2 linked regions of the Astyanax mexicanus genome follow. The protein of the gene in region 1 interacts with the protein of each later gene in a pairwise test. Links are inferred from orthologs where the notes say so. Each region holds a gene or a part of one and is shown on either strand. Other genes may lie near its edges. The genes, in order: blmh and nudt12.

The links.
Region 2: the proteins of blmh (region 1) and nudt12 interact in binary tests that used the Homo sapiens proteins (3 or more experiments, as listed by UniProt). The two-hybrid records come from large-scale screens. The link is inferred for Astyanax mexicanus from reciprocal best matches to the Homo sapiens genes BLMH and NUDT12.

What each region holds. Positions count from the first base shown.
Region 1 is NC_064425.1:19,209,039-19,220,306, reverse strand, and holds the start of blmh (bleomycin hydrolase), read right to left. Parts: upstream 4,901-11,268; 5' UTR 4,766-4,900; coding exon 4,753-4,765; intron 2,185-4,752; coding exon 1,981-2,184; intron 1,513-1,980; coding exon 1,403-1,512; intron 1,133-1,402; coding exon 991-1,132; intron 282-990; coding exon 193-281; intron 1-192. UniProt on the Homo sapiens protein: The normal physiological role of BLM hydrolase is unknown, but it catalyzes the inactivation of the antitumor drug BLM (a glycopeptide) by hydrolyzing the carboxamide bond of its B-aminoalaninamide moiety thus protecting normal and malignant cells from BLM toxicity.
Region 2 is NC_064419.1:36,551,738-36,563,240, forward strand, and holds the start of nudt12 (peroxisomal NADH pyrophosphatase NUDT12), read right to left. Parts: upstream 5,330-11,503; 5' UTR 5,078-5,329; intron 843-5,077; 5' UTR 835-842; coding exon 629-834; intron 1-628. Other genes in the region: GRAM domain-containing protein 2B, read left to right, coding at 8,178-8,287. UniProt on the Homo sapiens protein: mRNA decapping enzyme that specifically removes the nicotinamide adenine dinucleotide (NAD) cap from a subset of mRNAs by hydrolyzing the diphosphate linkage to produce nicotinamide mononucleotide (NMN) and 5' monophosphate mRNA.

The sequences.
Region 1 (11,268 bases):
ATAAGGAAGTGTCTGACTGACATCAAGCTTTGGCAAATGACTGCACAGAATCTTTACCTGAAAGATTACTCTCCTGTAGGCTCTATGGCTGATCGGTTAATCCTCATTTCGTAAATGTCGCCATAAAAGTTCAGTACGGCATAAAGGAGGCTAAACTGAGCAGCAGCATCAGGAGAAACTGTAAAAGCACACCTTGTGATTGAGGATATCGTTCATTCGACGCGAGGCCTCAGAGCTGTGAGATTCAGGAAAGCACTTCTTTGGAATGACGCCATATTTTTCTGGAAAACAATTTATGCAACTGCAGTTAAGAAAGTGTGTACTATTCCACATTTTCCATCATTTAAATTATACTTTTAAAATATTTAAGAGTACACTCTCTAACTTTCATTACTGACAGGAGTGCTCCTATGCTATGTATAAATTCCTATGCTTTTAACTAACTAGGGAGAAGGTAGAATTTTAATCCCCTTAAATTCTTCCTTTAATAGGTAGAGACAGACAATGTAATTCTGTTTAACATGCAGCAAACAAAAGTAGTTAGAAAAGGACCTATGAATGAACTAGAGGTCATATGAGCAAGTGGTTTCAGACAGGGAAGTTTAGACTTCCGTATAAAAAACTCCAAAGGAAGTACAAGGTCTGTTTTAAATAGGCTACTGTTTTACCCAAGGTAACATAGGCACTCATACACCAATAACATTCTACATTGTTTTTAATTGTTTTGTTTTTTTACTTTTTGAGAAGAGTCCTAAAAAAAATACATTATCAGATCAGATAATTATGCTTTTAAACCTCGCAATTGTTTACAATTATGCTTTTAAAATTGTCCTCAAAAATGAAACAAAACCCAAATAAGCAAATATGACTGATACTGTTGTTAAAGGGTTTTTGGACATTTTTGTTTCAGAACATAGCTCTACCAATTATCCCATACCTACAATTAAATACATCACAGAACCAGCTTTGACATATACAGCGTAGACTGACCAATGAGGTTAACCAGCATATCCCACTGTCCACCATCATTGGTGGGATTTGAGAGCAGAAACTGGCCCAACCGGCCATCAACGGGCTCTTTCCTCTGGGCCGTCTCCACACAGGCATGTAAGAAGTAATAGCAGCGTTCCACCTAAAAAATAGAAAGAGAGAGTGAGAACAAAGGAACTAAGAGAAAACACTGCCATACAATTGAGAGACAAACATTCAGCAATACATCTGACACAAAAGAGGATTTACACACACAGTCTGAGATGCACAATGACAGAGAACAATCAATGAACAGAGTACTCATTCTCTGTCCAGTTTAACCTATATGTTTATGTGAATACGCAGAGGTAAATAAAAAAAGCAAAAATTAATTCTTAATTATGACGTGTTTAGTACGCAACCACAGCCTTACCTTATCCCAGAAAAAGAGATAGGACTGACTGAACTCAAACTCTTCAATGTTAAACTTCTTCATAAAAGGAAGTCGCATGACATTGAGGCACGAGAAGATCCAACACCTCCCTGACAGAGAAAAAGAAACATTATCATTAGGTACAGTTAAACCTAATTAAACTAAATATTTTATGCAACTCTACCTTTCAAGGGTATCATACTACACATGCCTTATTGCATAGAAATTCCTGTTAATATCTACAACATACAGATGAACTGTTTTTCAGTAAATCTGTATAGTGCCACTATAATACTATTTATAGCACAGTGTGATAAATATAGTAAAATACAATGTAGGTCCATGTCTTGCTGTTAACTTTACTTTGAAAACAGAGCCATTACAAAATTGTAATGTAAAATGAAAGGCATTCACTACACTAGAATTCTATTTTTTCCTCAGTGTATTGTTTTGTTATGGAATGTGATGCAACACCTGATACCACATTCAGATACCTCATATCTTATATATCTTTCAGAACTGTTCTCACAGGTTTTAAGACTGTGTTTGTTTGGTGGTTTCAGTTTGAGTGCAATTACCTGAGTTCTTCTGGTTGGTGACAGGTTTACCCTCCGTGGGGATGGAGTGCTGGAAGATATGCACTGTGTCCTGGACTGTCTGCCTGTGGAGGCACACTTCTAGGGGGTCGATGCAGGTGGACACATTCTGCGCAAGCATGTACCGAGGCTCGGACCGCAGCCGCTTCACAAAAGAAGACAGCTTCTCCTGATTCAGACCTGGGGCTTAACAGAAAGAGGAAACTATTCAGTTTCATTTCAGGACAGACTTTTTTTATTTGCAACCAACTTCCTGGATCAATGAGGAATAAAATTGCAACAAAACAATAATAGGTGGAAACTAATTAAATGCGTATATGTTCAATGACCGTATCAGATATTTAATTTCTGAAAAGAATTTAATGTAAAATTAGATCTGCAACCTGCAAGAACACAACATCTCAGATATTGTGTATTGAATAAGCAGTCACATACCAACGCTGACAGCACACATTAAAATGTGCCTGATTATAACACGAAAAAATATATAAACTTTGGAACTGCTACCTACAATTATGTTCAATACCAGATGTATATAGTGTCCATAGTAAAAGACTAATTTACACCATCTGCCCATATGTCCAAAAATATATATAAATAAATAAATTGCAAAGCAATGCTGTTTCTTTAGCCATAATTAAACTTCTGCTGTAGACAGCAATACTGGACTGCAATTTCAACTCAGTGGGTAAAATATCCTAAATGTTTTTTGCTCTCCTACCAGAGCACTGTTGAAAAATGAAAAATACTTACTGATGAAAATGGTGAGCATGACCATGACCTCTACTGGGCACATTACAATAATTAAATTATCTACTTGTTTTCTGTTTGAATTATTTAGGATATTTAATTTTTTAATTCTAATTCTAAATGTCAGAATATTTCAATATATATTTCAAATACAAAAATACTGTTTAATACAAATAGTCCTGGAGCAGTTAATTATTTAAAAAATGGTTATCATGATAGTTCTACAATCTGATTAGTTGATATAATTTGATTAAGTACTGGTTTATTTGCTACAGCATCACACTTTACAAAGAACTGTGGACTGAATGGGGTAATTGGCTCCCTGGGTAATGTTTTCTTTCTTTTTTTTTTTTTTTGCACTGTAAGTTTAATATTGAGGTCATTTTACAGGAAGACATCCAGAATAATTTTGTAAACAAAAAGTGTAAAACAAACCAGATTATTATCTTAGATAGTTGCTGCTTTTCTTCATGCTGTGATGCTCCAGCACATCCAACATCACCATCTCAATTGGGTTTAGGTCAGGCGATTGTGGAGGAAAACAAGTTTTTGTTTACTACATACCCGGTAATTCCATGTGTCCCTTAATTGTTTTAATGTCTTTAATATTTATTGACAATATATACAATAAATTAAAGGTAGCAATAAAGAAAAACATTGAATGACAATGTGTGTTCATACTTTTGACTGGTACTGTATTTACTCACTAAATATCAGTACTTTTCACATTTAAAAAGACACATGGGTATTTAAATCCCATGTTAAAATGTAACTTTCAATTGGAGGGCATAGCAAAAATACTTATTGACCCAATAAGGGAAAAAAATCATAAGTAATAACTATGTAGTTATTCAAAAATGTATCTATAAGATCAAATGGCTGATAAATCTTTCAAATCTCAGCGTATTTTTCATTCATTTCTACCTGCCACCTCATTGATCCTTTTTGGTTTTTTTGTCTAACTATCAATAGTTAGCTATAAGACAGGTCTTATAATTGTTTGTGAGGCTTATGAACAGGAAATGACAAAATAATAAAAGTGAAAACATCACTTCACAAATTACAATAGCATAGAGGAAAGAGGAAAATCGTGGTCAACATAAAAGGGTGAGTAAACACATGCCATGTTAGACAGGCTTTTTAGACTGAGATCTAAAAGACAAAAACAAGCTTACTTCTTTATATTCATGAACAGAGGGGACAAGAACAGGTGTAACTGTTAACTAGCTGTCGCTATTGACTTTCTATGAAAAAGGGGGCAAAGGCTAGTCTATAGGGTGACTTGCAAATTTACATAATAACAGCAGCCCAGCAGGAAGGTTTGTGAGCCCATGGTGTCGAACAACTGCCTGCCTTGGTGTTGAGCTTTAGGTTACATAAGTCCTGAGTTAGGGCCCAATTCAACAGACACAATCAGAACAGCACCAGCTACATAGTACAGGAGGAACTTCAGCTCAGCTCCTGATGGGTATAGCTAGCTAACTACTAGATATGTATAATCCGGATACATAAAAGAAAAAAATCCACTTCAGGATTTCGTTTGAAACTAATGGGCGCCTTGACTGCAGCACAACCGTTCATGCGGTTGGAACAAAATCCTGGGCTGGATTTTTACTTTCTGGATTTCTACCTAACTACGGGCTGTGAGCTACAGAGGCTGCTACTGTTACATTAGAAGAACTGGAAGATGGGAGCCTTCAGCCAAACACTAAGAGGAAACAGCTTGGCTGTCTGTGAGCTGAGAGCATTAGCTAACAGGCAGCTTGGCAAGTTAGTTAAACTAACTAAAGCCAAGCTTCAGGCTGCCATAGCTAACCTAGCTAAGCTAGCTAACGCTATCACTTCCAGTTTGACGTGAAGCTCCAGCTCCAGCCCGGCTAGCTCCGCTCTGCTAAGCTAGGCTAACTAACAGCCCTGTTACAGACTGTACAGAGAAAAGAGACAGACTGGGCTACAGGCTCCACAGCAGACACTATTATAAAACACTTTAAAGAGCAAACGTACCGGGTGTTTCCATGTTTGTGCGCTGGAGCTCGGCGGTGTCAGTCTCTGAATCAGTCCCGCAGTCTCGCTTCTTCTTTTGTCTTCTGTTTATTTCATTCGCAGCCAGTCAGCGTAGCGCCGCGCGCTCGGAATTCCGGAAATCGCACTGTTGCCATGTCGCGAGAAACTCCCACCCGGTGTTTAACTTTAAAACACAGTGTTAAAACAGTGTTTTATTTTTAAAAACATATACATTTATTTTTTAAATATCCTGAGTGTTTAATCTTTTTAGACCTGAATTATATTCCAGTGCTGAAAAAACAAAACAAAAAATGTTGTTCTGTCTGTAACGTTAATTCACTCCAAAATACATACATTATTTGTATTTCTGTGTTAATTGCAGTTGTAATAATTTGTTTAACATTGATATTTTTATTCTATATAATTTAATTTTAACTTTTTTATTTCACAAATCATTCTTAAGCAGTAAAAATAACTCCATTTGTCCAATGCAGTAGGCGGGGCTAAGCTGCTGCTTGATTGGCTGATAATTGTCTATTCTTTTGGACAACAGGCAAGCTGGGTTAATGCAAGAATACACAAAAAAAAAAGAAAACAGGTGTTGGCCATTGCAATGGATGCAGGGTCTAAAAGGGTTAACACAGGCTTACAGTTCTGACATAATAAAGGAACTACTACTACTACTACTACTACTAGGTCAATTATTTTAAACATTATTATGAATCACAATAATTGTCTGTGAACAATCACAAATAAAATCATGAATGTAATGTTGGCTCTGCTACAGCTTCCCAAATGCACATTACTAAATGACAGACAAACTGAATGTAATGACTATAGAGATCTGGATTATGCAAAAACAGATTAAACAACATATTTCTTTTCTGTAGCTTTTTCAATTTAGACTCTGACATTACCTGCTAAACTAAGGTTAATTAATTTCCACACAGTCAAATTAAACATTTCTGACATCATTTATTTGTTAGTATGTAAGAATTAGTCTTTCAACATGTTTTTTTTTGCATGAGTCAGATTTCAGTTCTTTATTTCTGCCTATGCAATCTGGAAGTCTGCTCTGTTGTTTTGATCTGGTTTTATGACCTCTACCCGGAATTTGGCCTTTCCCTCTATGAAAGTCTGCAATTACATCCACTTGCCTCCTTCAATTTGTGACAGAAGACTGCACTGCTTCATTACCCCAGCCATGTCTGAACAAGGCAAACTGCTGAAGAATCACTATTGTAAGCTGGAGGAGTGGGAAATTGTTAAACTGTGTTTATACTGCGGTCAGTATTACCATGTCATTAAACAGTATCCCCACAAGGCAAGTAAAAAGAATGCTTCACAACATGATCCCAATATCCTCTTTAAGTAGGGCCTGTATATTTTGGTCAACTACATTAGGGTGAAGCGGTCATCCAATTGTTTACCTGCAAATTCCTAGGAAAAGATTTTATCACTTCAACCAGTTTTATGAGCATAAAAGCTCTCCATACTGAACATTGCACTCTAGCTCTATATTTTTATTCCATCTTGTTATTTAGGTCTCTCAATACTACAAAAGCACAATTCCACCACCTCCTGGCACACACTAGATACTACAGCTTGGCCAATGGCTTTGTAGACAAATTGTACCTCTATAAATGGCTAGATTTATAACTGTGATATTATTCAATTACTTAATTATTTAAGAAATATTATCCTGCCGATACAATTATGACATAATAAGGAATGGAATCAATAGTTTGAAAGATTAAGTGAGCTCTTCTGATTTTAACTGATCGGAAAGCCATTCTCCTTAATTCTCTTCACACAGTTTTTCACAAAATACATGTTCAATGAAAATGACCGCCCTGGCTTCAAGAATACTGTAATCTAATGCATTATCTTGCACTCAATTATCAATAACCCAATCATTTGGGAGATGTCTTAAAACAAGTTTCAGTTTCTTGTGCCAGTCATAACTGATAGTGGTTGATTCATTTATTACAATACTTAGTAACCCATAGGAGCCCAGACCCATTTCCGAATATTAATGCCAATTTCATAACTAATTTTAAGATTTTGTTCTAGAAATTATCAGAACTAATTCTATAGAATGTAAAACATTTCATTAAAGGATTTGAATTGTTAAAATGGATGAAAAAGAATAGAACAGAGATACACATTGAAAATGAACCTCCAGCACTAACCCAGCACACCTTTAAAAATAAGGTCAGATGATCACACATTCACACACATACATCATTATGAGTTCTTTCTGGTTAATAATTATTGATTTAAAAAAATGATAAATTGGAAAGTATCTAATTACATTTGACATAAGTACATTTTTAAAAATAATGTTAAATGACCATTAGCATCCAGCTTTAGCTTCGTAGATTTTAATAAAATAAAATGTAAATAAAATAATAGCTATAAAACGTGTAAATATAATAACAGCCATCACTACTCTTCTCACACTTTTTTATTGTCTCTGTATGAATTAGCTTTATATTTTATATTATTTTACATTTATAAATCTCACATTCAAAAGTCTTTTATTACAATTACAATAAGCTGAAACTAAAAAGATACTTTTCAGCAGTGTTTTATGTGGGTGTAAACTTTTATTTTGAAGACCGTGGAGTCACCATCACTCTCCTCTCCAGTGACACCCTCTGCATCCTCCCAACCGCCCACTTCAGAAACCTCTGCTCATCTGGATCATCCCTTGGTGACAGCAGGACTGATTCCGCCTGACCTTGCAGAGATCTTGACCCGGGTCGATTACAAAAAGAGAAACACCAAGAAAGTCCATGTTGAGGCCCAGGTCATCACAGAAGACGATTTTGAGAGCCTCCTGCAGCAGAGGGAGGAATTGGACATAAGGATTGAAGAGGCTAGGTTGACCACACAGGGCCCCACTGCTCGCAAAAAAATAGTTAATTTGTTTGACTAGATTTTTTTTATTTTGTACTCAAGTAAATTATCAGTAGAGTAGTAGTACATTTGTTTACCTCATTTCAAGCACTCTTTCTACCTCAGAATAAAATTTAAAACTGCGCCTATACTGCCCTCGGCTGGAAGTGAAAGTTAATGTAAGTCCTTTCCAGCACAGAGACAATGACCTACTTTAACTTACCTGATTCTAATAAAAGGTTAATAGCATGTTAGCATTTTTCTTTTATTTTGAAACTGGATTATTGTACATAACCAGTTCATATAAGTTGCATTGTCATGTGATGAGCAGTGGTCCCCCTCACAATTGTAATATAACCTTTTTTCACAGACTTTAGGGTTTCAAAGGTTTGGTGCCTGTTAAAGAATGTCTAGAAGTAGTGTTAAAGCAGTGCATTTCAGTCTCATTCTAGGGACTGTTTACACATGTATTTAACCATAGCCAATGATGTATTGTGTTTTGGCTAAGAACTGTTTAGTACACAATGTTCTATATGTATACTTTACAAAATGCCAGTTAAACATTATAGCTACATTAAAAATTAGAGATGATGTAGCCTCCCAAAAAATCTTATGTTAATGGATTTGTGTCAATTTAATTAGATTAAGTAGCAAAAGTAGCAAAAAATGTGCAGTATTTTTTCCTACAGCTGCTTGCCACTGTCAGTAATTGTTGCCTGTGGTGGGACAATTAAACATGGCAGAACAGTTTTTCATTTACAAAATGAAAAATAAAATACAAAATATATATATTTAGATATGTGCTTTGGTAGGATAATTTGACTAGATTGACTAGCTAAGATTTTCAACACACTGGTTCTACCATAATGGGGACTAAGTGACCTAGGTCACTGTCCGCCAACAATTAATTATTTGAGTTACGTTATAACATAAAAATGTTCAGTTTGCTTTCATTTTTCCAGACAGACAATTCAAGTCTGGTGTTGGCTTAGCTAACTGTGTTGAAAAACACTATTCAGAAATTTGTATGTAACATCAGATGAATAAGAATTACTCTCTTCTCACACTAAGCGATAGTAAAATGTCAAGGAATATTTGTATGAAGAATAATGACAGTAATTGTCTGATACATATATAGTTATAAAAGATTTTTGTATTAATGAGGTTTTGTGTAAATATATGTCACTGAATGTCTTCTGAATGTGTAATATTTTAGCTAAAAAAAAGGGAAATGAAGAATGTGCAAATTAAACTCACAATCTCAGGTAAAATCCCAAACTCAACAAAATTTGTTTACATTTAAATAGTCTTGGCAAACAGTCAAATATATACATTTAAAAAAAATCCAATTAAGGAACATGATAGTTTGAGTACTCTTTATTAATGAATTATTTATCTTATCCACTTTTTTCTGACCAAGGTCATTGTGGCTGCCAAAATCTTTGGTCACATTGTTTGTATTTTAGGCCCTAATGAAGGACAGTGGTTTTCAATCCTGGATACCATTGGCCTGATTGTTTTTTGAGTGTTTTCTTTTTTTTAGGCAATAACACACCTGCTGTTTTTAATTAAATGGATCAGATGTGCTGGAATTAAGAAAAAATCTATAATCTTAGGAGTAGTAGAGGCAGGAGAGGATTGAGAAACACTGCTATAGCTAATAAGGTGGAGATGCTGCACTCATGCTGAAACCTTAAGCAGATACAGGAAATGATTCCCCCTATCTTTCCTCTAATTCTGGGCTTGTCCTGCACTTAAAGTCTGATGAGTGCCCTCTAAAGGAGAACAGGCAGCAGATCTCAGCTGTGATTCTCTTTTTACTGGCATTGTTCAGCCTCAAGATGGAGACTCCAATTTGCCTGTGCTTGGAGAGGAGAGGAGAGGAGAGCCCTAAGATGCACTGGTCTACATTAAAATTTAAACACAACTCCACTCTTACTCTACTTTAATACTGAAAAAAGCCACACACAATTAAATACCATGTACTATGTGATTTATATATGTGTGTATATATCTGTCTCCAGGCACTGCATTACAATTTCATTACAATTACTGACAGTTACAGTTAATGCACTGAATAAGTAGCGCAATAAATGAATACTTGACGCCTAGGCTGTCTTCTAGTAACAGTTGTGGTTGAGGTAGAAATGAGGATTCCTGGGGAGGCTCCCATTATTCTCGCAGTGGTTTTCGGGCTTTTATTTGTATTATGATAACAACCCGATAATTATTCAAAACAAAGGCAGTTTATGATGGGGACATTATCAAATACCCCAATCCCTCTTAAACTGCATGCTGCCGTGTTGTTGCTCATAAATAAACCTGGTATTTTTTTTGTGCCAGATGTTACCTAATCCAGCCAGTGCCTCCGGTTCTCTTTGTGGGCTGCGCTTAACAATAGTTGTGGTGCTCTCCTGGAGGAGGGGGCAGATGGGGTCTCCTCCGCAAACAATGTGTGAGGTGTGGGGGATGGGGTTATGCATTGAAAGTCACCCCTGACTAGATATCACGCCAGCTTCAGCCTTTCAGGACTATGATGGAAGGGGGGACTGCCTCAGTTTATGTGAAAGCTCATAAACGCATATTGCAGGAATGGAGGCTTTACCCGCAGCCATCTGTCCAAAATGAACAGATGAGCACCATGCTTTACAGGGAAACGGGGCTAGGTCAGAGAAACAAGCTCTGGAATAGTGGATTGGAGATGCATTCAGTGTATTACAGTGTGTTACAGCCCCGTGACTGGCTGAGAGCATCTTTTTGAGAAACAACAGCTTATTTTCTTATTTTTCTTAATGAATAATACGGAATCTTATATACTTTTATTGAAAGGGGTGGAAAATAAAAAAAGTGAAAAAGCTAAATTACCACAAATACAAAGGAAAAAATAAAATTTACAATACCTTTAGTGACGTGTTGTTCCCTGGTGTGTTTACACTTGGTGCTCACACTAAAACAAAGAATAAAAAAGGCATATACATTTTAATTAGTAAAAAGGTTATCGTACAACATGCATGAAGTGTAGTCTTCCTAGCTGCAGAGAGAGGCAAGTAAATAGCTTTATTGTGAAAAGGCTGCACTGAAGCCATTTCCATAATCCTTTCTAAGAAAGGGTGGGGGCAGTTGTGAAAAATGCCCAAGGCATCAGACATCACAGCTACAATAACTGACCAGACTACTTACTGCATGGTGAATTAAAGAACACTGACCCCTCAAACCCCTAGGCCTATTATTTGCTTGTAAATTTACAAAATAACATGTATTCTATAAATACTGTGAATTATTTAATAACTACCCAAACCAATATGAAAATTTTGTTTTATTGGGTTTAAAGGTTAATAGGGTTTATTGAGTTAACATTGTTTACAGGATTATACGTATAGTGGTTTTGCAGGTCCTGCCTTCAGGGTGTTCTACACAGTCAATATCTATAGTAAGTTTACTGTGAAAACTGAGGTGTTTTTTTTTTTTTTTTGACTACAAACAAAAAAAATCAAAACTAAACCTCACCTAGACAATTCACTCAAATCAAATGACTGAATGAGGAAAATCTTTGGAAACAGAGCTGCGACAAGGCAGATTCCACAAAAGAACCCAATCTTTTGTATATGTTTCTAT
Region 2 (11,503 bases), on another chromosome or scaffold:
TATAAGACCAATTGGTACTTTCTGCAGTGTGGGCAGTATGCCAAGTCCTGCTGGAAAATTAAATCTGCATCTACATAAATGTTTTTAGGAGAGGGAAGCATGTAGTGCTGTAAGATTTTTTGACTTGACTTTTGACTTGATAATAACACATTGGACCAACACAATGTTGAGATGCACTAGTATACTGACAACCTCAATATATTTTGTTGACCTCAATACTGCAATTAATATTATTTGTCTTGAGAGCCTTTTAACAAAAAATGCCTTTTGGTTGACAATATGATCAAAATATTGTACCATGACATTTAAAGACATTATCAAGAAAGGATGCAAAAAGTTATCCATGATATGTTCAGAAAAGTATATTGTATTTTATGGTCAAATGTATACGACACAAGGAAATATCGTCTAATTACCAATTTAATCCAATATCTGAATATTCTTAACAATTTAATTGCTGTTTTAAAAGGTGAAATTACTTTATTATGCAATTATATCATCACAACAGCAGCAGCATAAAATGGTCTTAAAATGACAATAAAATAGTTTATCACAATTGTTCCTTTGATAATAGATCATCAAAAAAGTTACTGTGAAAAGTCTGCGTGTAGCTTTTTTTTAAACTCACCCCTCTGATAGTAAAGCTTTCACCACATCATAGTGTCCATTTCTTGCAGCTAACATTAAAGCTGTCCAGCCTTGTTTTCCACTTTCATTAAGCAGATGTCTGGAGTGAGAAATCAAAAAAGACACTTTGCCTAAATCACCACTGGATGCATGTTCCAGGAACTGCTGGACCATCTCATCCAGAGCACTCATCTGTACACTCGTCATGATCTGAGCTACAACAAAAGAAGAAAAAAAGAAAGACTAGTTAATAGTAATAGGTGTTATTCAGGATTAGAAAAATGTTTCTTAAGATCACATTTCTTTTAAGGACCCAAGTTTTTAACCTGACCAATAGACAAATACATTTTGACAATGAGGCATATACATCTAGTTCCAAACAAAACAAAATCTGATTATTAACAGAGTTAAGTAAAAACTCCCATGTTCTGCTACAATTGGATTATGTAGTGCGCATAAACCCACTCCAAGAACAATATGATACAATGACTAAATGCATGTTCTCCTTTAACCTGTTTAACTACACAGAAGGTCAATGTTATGATTTACACAACATTAGTGTAGTAATGTGGTTTGTCCCCTCCTCTCTCTTACAGATCTACTGCCAACTTTTCACACTTATTATTATTATGCACAGCACACAAAACATGCTGTTTTATAATTGCAACGCCATGTATTTAATGTTGCTTTTTCATGTGAGCTCCCAAAGATGCATCAACAAGGTCAAGATCATTAGGCTGTGTAATTTAATCTACAGAATATCTAGTGACACAAAGTCCCAGCTGCCATATCCAGACAGTGACTTGTATTTGGCACTGTGTTCATATGCATGCATCACATTTGTAGCTTTATTTGTAGCTTTATATGATACTTTTGGAATTACATAACTATAGCTGTGTTAGTCTAGATGTTATTGCTATAGCTGCTATTCTAAGAAGCTGTGTACAACATCACTGAGGGGGAGTAATTAGAGGATACAGATTGTTAGAGGGTACAGTTTTCATTTTTCCATTCCTTAAAGTGCAGTTGTTAACTTCACACAGGCCATCAACTGAAAAAAGAAAATGTTACTATTTTAAGATGAGTGTATCTTGATTTGTCAACACTTTTACCCCACTGTAGGCCTGTCACAGTAATTACATTATCAACTTACTGTACAGTACATAGAAATATCCACAATCACCTGACCTCTCGATATTGTTTGTTGTTTTTACTAAGCAACATTCTAATTTAGATTATTCTATTTCTGTAGAATATTAAACCCAAAAGAACCCTTCAAAACTGTGCAAAGTTCCACAGTTTTAACTCATGAAGTTCCTAAGTTACATATTCTGAGAATGCTGAGAGCATCACTACAGGATAATGTGTGAATGTAGGACTGCTGGGTTAGTGCTGCAGACAATGGTTCAATATAACTATTTCTTGATAGATGATTTGTAAGAGTATGATAATAAAATACCAGTTATAAAATTGTTGTTTGGTTACCTTACAATTTAAATCTTAAAATATTTACAGTCATGTGCCCCACAAAAACATGAAAGAGCTGTTCCTTGTATTTATCTGATTTAATTTTGAATTTGGTATAAATATTCAGAAATGGCTCTTATATGTTAAATAACATAAACTTCAATGAATGTATACTCAGTATAACATAAGGGTACTGCTTTAAAAAGGTTATGTTTAAATTAATGTATATTATTAAACTGTTCTATTCTTATTATATCAATGACATAAAATTGTTCTAAAATGTTTCTGTGTCACCAAATGTTTCCATGCCATGAGCTGTCTGACCTTTTTAATTTATATAATTTATTAATATTATTAGTGTCTTCGGTTCCTTGAAAGTAAAACAGTGAGAAGGTTGTGATGTGACTGTGAGGTAAAGCTCCTATACACAGCTTGATATTTTGATATGAAAATAGCTTATAAATATTAATGATTATTTAAAAAAAACATAATGAAAACATACTTAAAAATATATATATAAATTATATAACTACTTTAAACCAAAAATTAGTCAAATTAACCAGGCAGCACTGTGGAAAACAGTGAAAAAAAAGTATTCCAGGTGACTCTACCTCATGAAGACACTGAGATTAAAATACCAAGAGTGTGCAGATCTGTCATCAAAGAAAAATGTTGCTACTTAGAAGAATCTAAAGTATATAACATACTGATTTGTTTAACACTTTTTTTGTTGTGTTCCTATATAGCTTTAATATAGTGTTCAATATTAAATTCATTGTCCATGTGTCCAAATTTTGACTGGTACTGTGTATTGAAATAATGTCTTAAAATCTTAATGTCTTAGTAAATATAGGTAAACATATTGTTACACAGTGTTTGTATGAAATTTAAACAACTATGCTGTGTGGACACAAAAGGAATGTTATACTAAGATTGACTTACATTTATATGACTGCTGTAATTACACCATTAAAAAGTAACGAGGCTGAAGTTAGTGTCTTATTCGGATTTTCCGGTCCACCTTAAAAAGTACCAATTATTCGCCAGTAGAGAGCAGGGTTGAGCCGAGCAAAACGAGTTTGGCATTTAGGGCATATTACACTGAGAAAACATTGCCTGTTCTGGGTATTTCCAGTTGCCCGAACTCCAGATTATCAAATAGTCTGTTGAATTTGACACCACATTATGAAAATATAACTAGTATACTGTGAATAGCCTAAAGAACTTAACATTTAATGTACAGTTTTTTTTTTATTATGAGCCTCTGAACTTGGCATTTGAGAAGATTAAAGGAGAATAAATTGCCTGTTCTGCATATTTCTAGATGCCCTAAATCCACATATTCAAATAGTCTGTTAAATTTGACACAAATTATGAAAATTTACATATTAAACTGTGAAAATCTTTAATAACTACAAAGATTACTGTACAGTTTATTATTATGACCCTCTGAACTTGGCATTTCAGAATATGTCAGTAGAATAAATTGCCTGTTCTGCATATTTCCAGTTACCCTAAATCCAGATTCTCAAATAGTCTGTTGAATCAGACACCACATTATGAAAATATAACTAGTATACTGTGAATAGCCTAAATAACTAGAAATATTACTGTACAGTTTTTTTTATTATGACCCTCTGAACTTGGCATTTGAGAAGATTAAAGGAGAACAAATTGCCTGTTCTGCATATTTCCAGATGCCCTAAATCCAGATTCTCAAATAGTCTGTTAAATTTGACACAAAATTATGAAACTATACCTATTAAACTGTGAACAGCCTTTATAACGAAAAATAAAAAAAACTGTACAGTTTTCTTATAATGAGCCTCTGAACTTGGCATTTGAGAAGATGTCAGGAGAATAAATTGCCTGTTCTGCATATTTCCAGTTACCCTAATTCCAGATTGTCAAATAGTCTGTTAAATTTGACACAAAATCATGAAAACATACCTATTACACTGTGATGAGCCCAAAGAGCTAAAAATATTACTGTACAGTTTTTTTTATTATGACCCTGTGAACTTGGCATTTGAGAAGATTAAAGAAGAATAAATTGCCTGTTCTGCATATTTCCAGATGCCCTAAATCCAGATTCTCAAATAGTCTGTTGAATCAGACACCACATTATGAAAATATACCTATTCTCCTGACATCTTCTCAAATGCCAAGTTCAGAGGCTCATTATAAAAAAAACTGTACAGTATTTATTTTTTGTTATAAAGGCTGTTCACAGTTTAATAGGTATAGTTTCATAATTTTGTGTAAAATTCAACAGACTATTTGAGAATCTGGATTTAGGGCATCTGGAAATATGCAGAACAGGCAATTTATTCTCCTTTAATCTTCTCAAATGCCAAGTTCAGAGGGTCATAATAAAAAACTGTACAGTAATATTTCTAGTTATTTAGGCTATTCACAGTATACTAGTTATATTTTCATAATGTGGTGTCAAATTCAACAGATTATTTGATAATCTGGAGTTCGGGCAACTGGAAATAACCAGAACAGGCAATGTATTCTCAGTGTAATATGCCCTAAATGCCAAACTCGTTTTGCTCGGCTCAACCCTGCTCTCTACTGGCGAATAATTGGTACTTCGACTTTTTAAGGTGGACCGGAAAATCCGAATAAGACACTGGCGAATAAGACGCCAACTTCGGCCTCGTAAAAAGCATAAACCCTGCTATGATTTCTGATAAATAAAATACATACACGTGGTAATATAAGGGACCTTAATTGGAAGAACCTAAGGGTACCACTTTACTGTTACTTCATACCAATATTCTGCCCTTATTGTGCACTGGGGAGCTAACCTGACCTCTGGACTAGTAGGACAGACTTGATCACAGTTTAGACAGTCAGACAGAGAGACAGACAGATAACACTAGCTAACTAGCTGAGGTGAAGTGTATTTTAACCAGTACTATTTTAGTGTAATAAATACTCTGAATGAATTAGATACAGGTAAAATGCTTATTTAAACCTTCAAACCTGATTCCACGGGCTGGTAGTCTGATTTGAGGAGGACCCACCTGTGTCACACGTGACTAAGTAGGGCAGAAGTAGGGTAGAAGTGCAGAAAGGCTACAACGCGTTCAAATAAGACGGCCGCGTCCCAATAGTTTTTCTGCTAAAGAAGGCCATAAGCTGCAAACCAGGCAAAGCCAAGGCAGCAGGTAGTTCAGGAGACTCTATATGAGAAGCTGAACACAGCCCAGGTCTGGCGTCGTAAACATATGGCGTAACGAGGTCACGTGATCCTCCAGCAGGACGGGTGTGCATCCGGGTCTTTAGTAGAAGAGCGAACTCTAGTGGTGAGACCCAGATAGATAGATAGATAGATAGATAGATACTTTATTTATCCCGAAGGAAATTTAGGCATCCAGCAGCAACAACACAATACAATAAGAAACATACTCAGACAAATCAAAACACAGAAGAATAGAAAATATATAAGGCTATATAAAAAAAAAACTAACTATACAAGGTAAGGATCTATCTGTAAACGGAGCAGTGCAGTAGATGTTGCTAATGGTCATAAATAATTAAATAATTAACAGAGTAAAGTGCAATGACATCGATTACGAAAGTGACTGATGTGACATAGAAATATAATATAATATAAGTATGCATACGTTACAAGACAGTTCTAAAAAGAGAATGTGAAAATGTGAATACCCAATCATGAGTAAGGTATACTTAAATGTAAGCGAGGTTGGGGAAGTGTTAATATAAATAATTAAGTTGTTGAATAATGTCCAAGTGGTGTGCCTGGATTAAACTCAGTCGTCAGCAGCATCCCGTCCCCAATGGGAGGAGTTAAAGAGTCTGATGGCTCTCGGAAGGAAGGATTTTCTGAGTCTGTCTGTTGTGCAGCTCTGTGACAGCAGTCTGCCACTGAACACACTCCTCTGCTTCATGATGGTGGTGTGAAGTGGGTGACTATCATTGTTCATGATAGAAAGCAGTTTATCCAAAGTCCTTCTCTCAGCTATTATAACCAGAGAGTCCAGCTCCATTCCAACCACTGCCCCGGCCCTCCTGACCAGCTTGTCCAGCCGTGATGCATCTCTCCTCTTCATGTTGCCTCCCCAGCACACCACAGCGTAGAAGAGAATGCTGGCCACGATTGATTGGTAGAACATTTGCAGAAGCTCCTTACAGATGTTAAAGGACCGCAGCATCCTCAAGAAATAGAGCCGGCTCTGTCCCTTCCTGTACAGGGTGTCTGTATCTGTTGACCAATCCAGTTTGTTGTCCAGCTGCAGACCAAGGTACTTGTAGGTCTTTACTGTCTCCACATCAACCCCCTCGATGGAGACTGGCTGCAAGGGTAGTCCAGACCTACGGAAGTCCACCACCATCTCCTTGGTCTTGGATATGTTCAACTGCAGTTGGTTCAGTCGGCACCAAGCAACAAAGTCATCCACCTGTCTCTTGTACTCCTCCTCCTGACCACCCTTCACACACTACCAACGAAGGCAGTGTCATCCGAGAATTTCTGCAGGTGGCACATCTCAGAGTTGTAATGGAAGTCTGATGTTTAGAGAGTGAAGAGGAAGGGGGAGAGCACAGTCCCCTGTGGTGCTCCAGTGCTACTGACCACAGTCTCCGATGTGCCGTCAGTGAGCCTCACGTACTGTGGTCTGCAGGTGAGGTAGTCTGTGATCCAGGACACCAGGTGAGGATCCACATTCATCTTCACCAGCTTGTCTCTGAGAAGTGGAGGCTGGATGGTGTTAAAAGCACTGGAGAAATCAAAAAACATGATTCTCACAGCACTACTCCCCTTGTCAAGATGAGAGTAGGTTCGGTGGAGAAGGTAGATGACTGCATCCTCAACACCAATCTTCTCCCGATATGCAAACTGGAGAGGGTCCAGTGCATGCTGTACCTGGGGTCTGAGGAGTGGGAGATGCAGTCGTTCCATGGTCTTCATAATGTGCGAGGTCAAAGCTACCGGCCTGAAGTCATTGAGCTCACTGGGGCGAGGTTTCTTGGGAACAGGGACCAGGCATGACGTTTTCCACAGCGTAGGAACCCTCCCCAACTGCAGGACAAGCAGAATCTCATAATAATAAAATAATCTTTTTTTATACAGCTCTTAAAAAAATTGAGACCACTTTATTTTCCGAATCAGTTTCTCTGATTTTGCTTTTTATAGTATGTTTGAGTAAAATTAACAACAATTATCAATAATTAACAATAATTATATATATTTTTGGATTTTGCAGTAAACAATGTTATTTTCATTTAAATATCATTTTACGAGATGTACAATATGATTAATATAAAAGCACAACAATGCAATTACACATGACTTTAAAAGTAATGAGTTTTTAAGTATCACAATTATTTAGACATTGCAAATAAAACATTAAAAAGTTGTAATATCCTAAATAATAATAAAAAAAAAACAAAAAAGAAATCTTGCCTAATAAATGACATTGAATCAACATTCATATAAAGGTTTATATTGGGCTGAGCTCTTGTACACTCACAATGCTTTAAGAAAACTGTGCACAACCCCCAAATAATAATATTAATATTAGAAATCAGCAATTGGATTTTGTATCTAAAAAAATTATCTTTAAACACTGCATGCATACATAAAACCATGATGTTAAATTCTTTATAACTCAATTTTTCAGCATGAAAGTATTTTTAAAACAATGACAATGAAAAATAATGAATATTAAATAAATAAAATAAATACAATAAAAATAATGTATATTCCTTCTCCCTACAAAATGATCCATTTGGGTTTATGTTGGATGCCATAGCTAAATATTTGCATTTAAAAAGTGTAATCATATAAACCTACTGACTATTAAAGTACTGTGTATATTAGAGACACAAGATATTTTTTTTTCTAATCAGGGACATTAAATATAGCTATTTATTGCTTAATTTGAGACTCAACTCATTGAAGAACCTTTAGTCACAGTAGATTTTTTAGATTTTCAAATCACAAGGAGTCAGCTAATCACTTATTAACTGGCTCAGAGGGTCAGAGACCTCCTCATCAGCTGAAACCCAAAAACACAGATGGGTCTTTTATCAGGGAGTCATTTCAGTGTTTGATGGAGAAACCGTCCTCCTGTGATGAGTCTGTTCACAAAAACAGAAATGATGCAGCCCGACCAACGTGTTCTGTCCCACCTAGTCAACAAACTCTGCTTGAGTCCCAGTGGTGAGTCTAAATATACTTTTTTACATTCTTGATTTTTTTTCTGAATGTGGTGTAATGCAAGATTATACAGCTCCATAAGGTAAAACTTTAGTGCAGCATTACAGAATGAATGGTACCATGTGGATAAATATTATTTGGATGTTTTTCTGTAGAACATAAGCTATCTAATCTTGCACGTGCTGCAAAAAGAGAACAGGCTGAACAGTCTCCACTGTTCTGTTTACTTTATAAAGCACAGGGGGGGACTTTGTCTCGTGTCTGTCTGTTGCCAAACTCAAACAGACTCAAAAGGACAGTATTAATCTTTAAAAAAAAAACAATTCTGTTTGCACATTCTACCCTGTAACTAAATGACCAGCTTTATAGCTAAAGATTTTTATTGTCTTTCAGTGCTTTAGAATGCTAGAATATACAGCCTGTAATATTTTATTATGAGTAGTGTAAAACTACAAATATATGCAGTAATATCCCAGCAAACACAGTTACATTGTGACAATTGGGGAAATAGTTTTGGTGCCCACAGCATTGTCACAATTTTTAAATAGACTATGTTCTAAAATATTTGCATATGTCTAGTTGGATGATAATATGACAAGGATTATTGACAGTTGTCAAAAGGCGGCATTAGTAGACATTGTTGTGCAACATTGTGTATCTGCTGGGATGCAGCACACTATTAAATAAACACATAAAGTGGTCACAGTGTTGTCTATTTTTTTAAAACTTTGCTACAATGTTGTCCAAAGGTTGCATTGTTTACATCATCTTAACAATGTTGACCCAACATCATCACAAACTCAAAATTAAGCCTTTTGACCACTTCCTAAAAAGAGAAATCCAGAAGAAAAATAGAATGGCCAGGTGAAGCTGGTCAGGCTGGTTATGATATCCAGCATAGGGTGTGCTGGGTGCTAAATGTAAAAATCAAAAAATAGAATTTCATTATTTAATTTCTTTTAATTATGATTTATTTACCTGAAGTTTTTCTTTTCTGAACCTCATGATCTAAATTTCAGGAAAATGAAAAGAAAATATTTAGTCAATTATCTAATTTTCCATTATAGCATCTTTTTACAAATATGAGTTGTATTATACCATCAGATTTGAGGAGAAAATAAAAAAAAATAGCAAAGAAATGTATTATCTATTTTTTGTTAAGTCCAGATTGTAAAAATTCAGTCAGATAAATGTTACATTGACACTTGAGCCAGCATAACCATATTGCCAGAATCAAATGCAACAATACAGCTAGTTTATCAGTATAGGGTATGTTTTTGACTGGCTTAACAGCTTTTCGACCTCCCTGACCATCAAAGACCAGCTTAAACCATTAAAACAGTCTTGGGTTGGATTTTTCAACAGGGAATGAGGCTATATAAACAAATCCAAAGGTTGCACTGTTGTTTAACCAACAGTGCTGTAACAACGTTGCCATAACCTTATCCTCAGGTAACTTGGTCATAAGGTCAAAATACTACAACTTTTCAAAATTCCCATGATCCAAGATTCATTATCTGACAATAAAGCTCATCATATATTTTAAAATGCATGCAAAAAAATATTACGAATTGAAATCTAAAAAGTTTTACCTCAAAATTTTACAACATCAGGTTTGTTTGTGTTTAGTGCCTAACCTGGTAGACTCTGTATGTAAGCTTACACTGCAGTTCTTTACAGTTTCATAAGCCCTACAATTTAACCCCGTGGAACTCCATTAGTAATTAGTAATAAAAGCAAAATAATTAGCCTATGGTTTAAGGGGGTAGCATGTGGACAAGTGGAGTCCACTACATTCTCTCAGACTCCTGTTATTTCCCTCAGTCTCAAGATTTCCGACATATCTCAGTAGTAGGGGTGGATGATATGGCCCTTAAATAATATCACAACATTTCATGATATTTTTGCGATATCGATACTCTTGGCGATATGACAAAATTAAAATATATATTTCAAGAATACAATACTGCAACAAAATGAAAATTACATTTTATTATTGCATACATATGAATTACATTCATTTATTACATTCATATGATTTGTAACAGAATTCAATGATCCAGAATGTTAAGATACTAATAACGCACTTCAAATATCTTCATATATACAGGATTAAAGTAAAATAAATGATACTGGACAGATATAATCTATCCAGACATATAATGGCAAATGAGAACAGAGTGAATTTTTATGCTTTTATGCTTTTTGCTAAAATCAGCAAAAAAGTAGTACCCTGATGTGATAATTAGGGGTGGGTGATATGGCACAATATTTCAGGGTATACTACCGTTCACGATATAAAAAATGTTGGCGATATTATTGCGTATGATATGATATGGCACACAGTAAACGGTAAAAAAAACAAACCAAAAAAACAGTATTCAATAATTTGCAGATTGCAAAGTGAGTAATGCCCACACAGTAGCGCCAGTAAGTGGTATTAAAACCTTTTTGTTTGAGAACCACTGTTTTAGAACATTTGTTGGATTTTAAACGTTGGGACAACGTTGCTGCTATTTAAAACAACAACAGCTGGTTGTCAGAACGATGCCAGTGCTGACCGTGTGCGCTGGGGCGCGCGGTCGAGTTCAGTAGTAACTCGATACTCAGTGTAATAAATGCGTGACGTACCTGTGGCACATTCACCGCGAGCGCAGCTCTCAGGATGTTAAACACAGACTAACGGACTAACAGCCCGCAGTTAAAGAGCTAATGGATATTAAACCGGGGAATATTACCGCGCGCGGCGGCAAGTAGAAGTTTCAGCAGCTTCATGTAAGATATGTATCGCCTCTCAGCAGCAGCAGCAGGACAAGGACTTTTATCAGACTGAGTGCTCTGTTTCTGTAAAGGTAACTACTGTTACTGTAGCACTGCTGAATACACATGATCTCTGACAGTTCAGAGTCTAATATCTTTATCTGTCCATGTTTTAACTTTTATATTAATACTGCAGGCTCATTATCAGAATACTGTGCTTATTTGCCCTCAAGCCTTTCAAAAAAATGACTTAATATTTCCTATATGTATATGATTATCCCATACAGGGTTGCCAGGTCCAACAAAATATCCAGCCCAAACTCAGTCTAAAAGCCGCCCTTCAACTAGCTTAAACTACCCTTCCAAGCAAATGGCAAAACAACTGAGTGTACGACTTATTTTGTTTATAAGGGATTTATTATCAATATTGCTATTTACCTTAAGTCATTAATAATATTG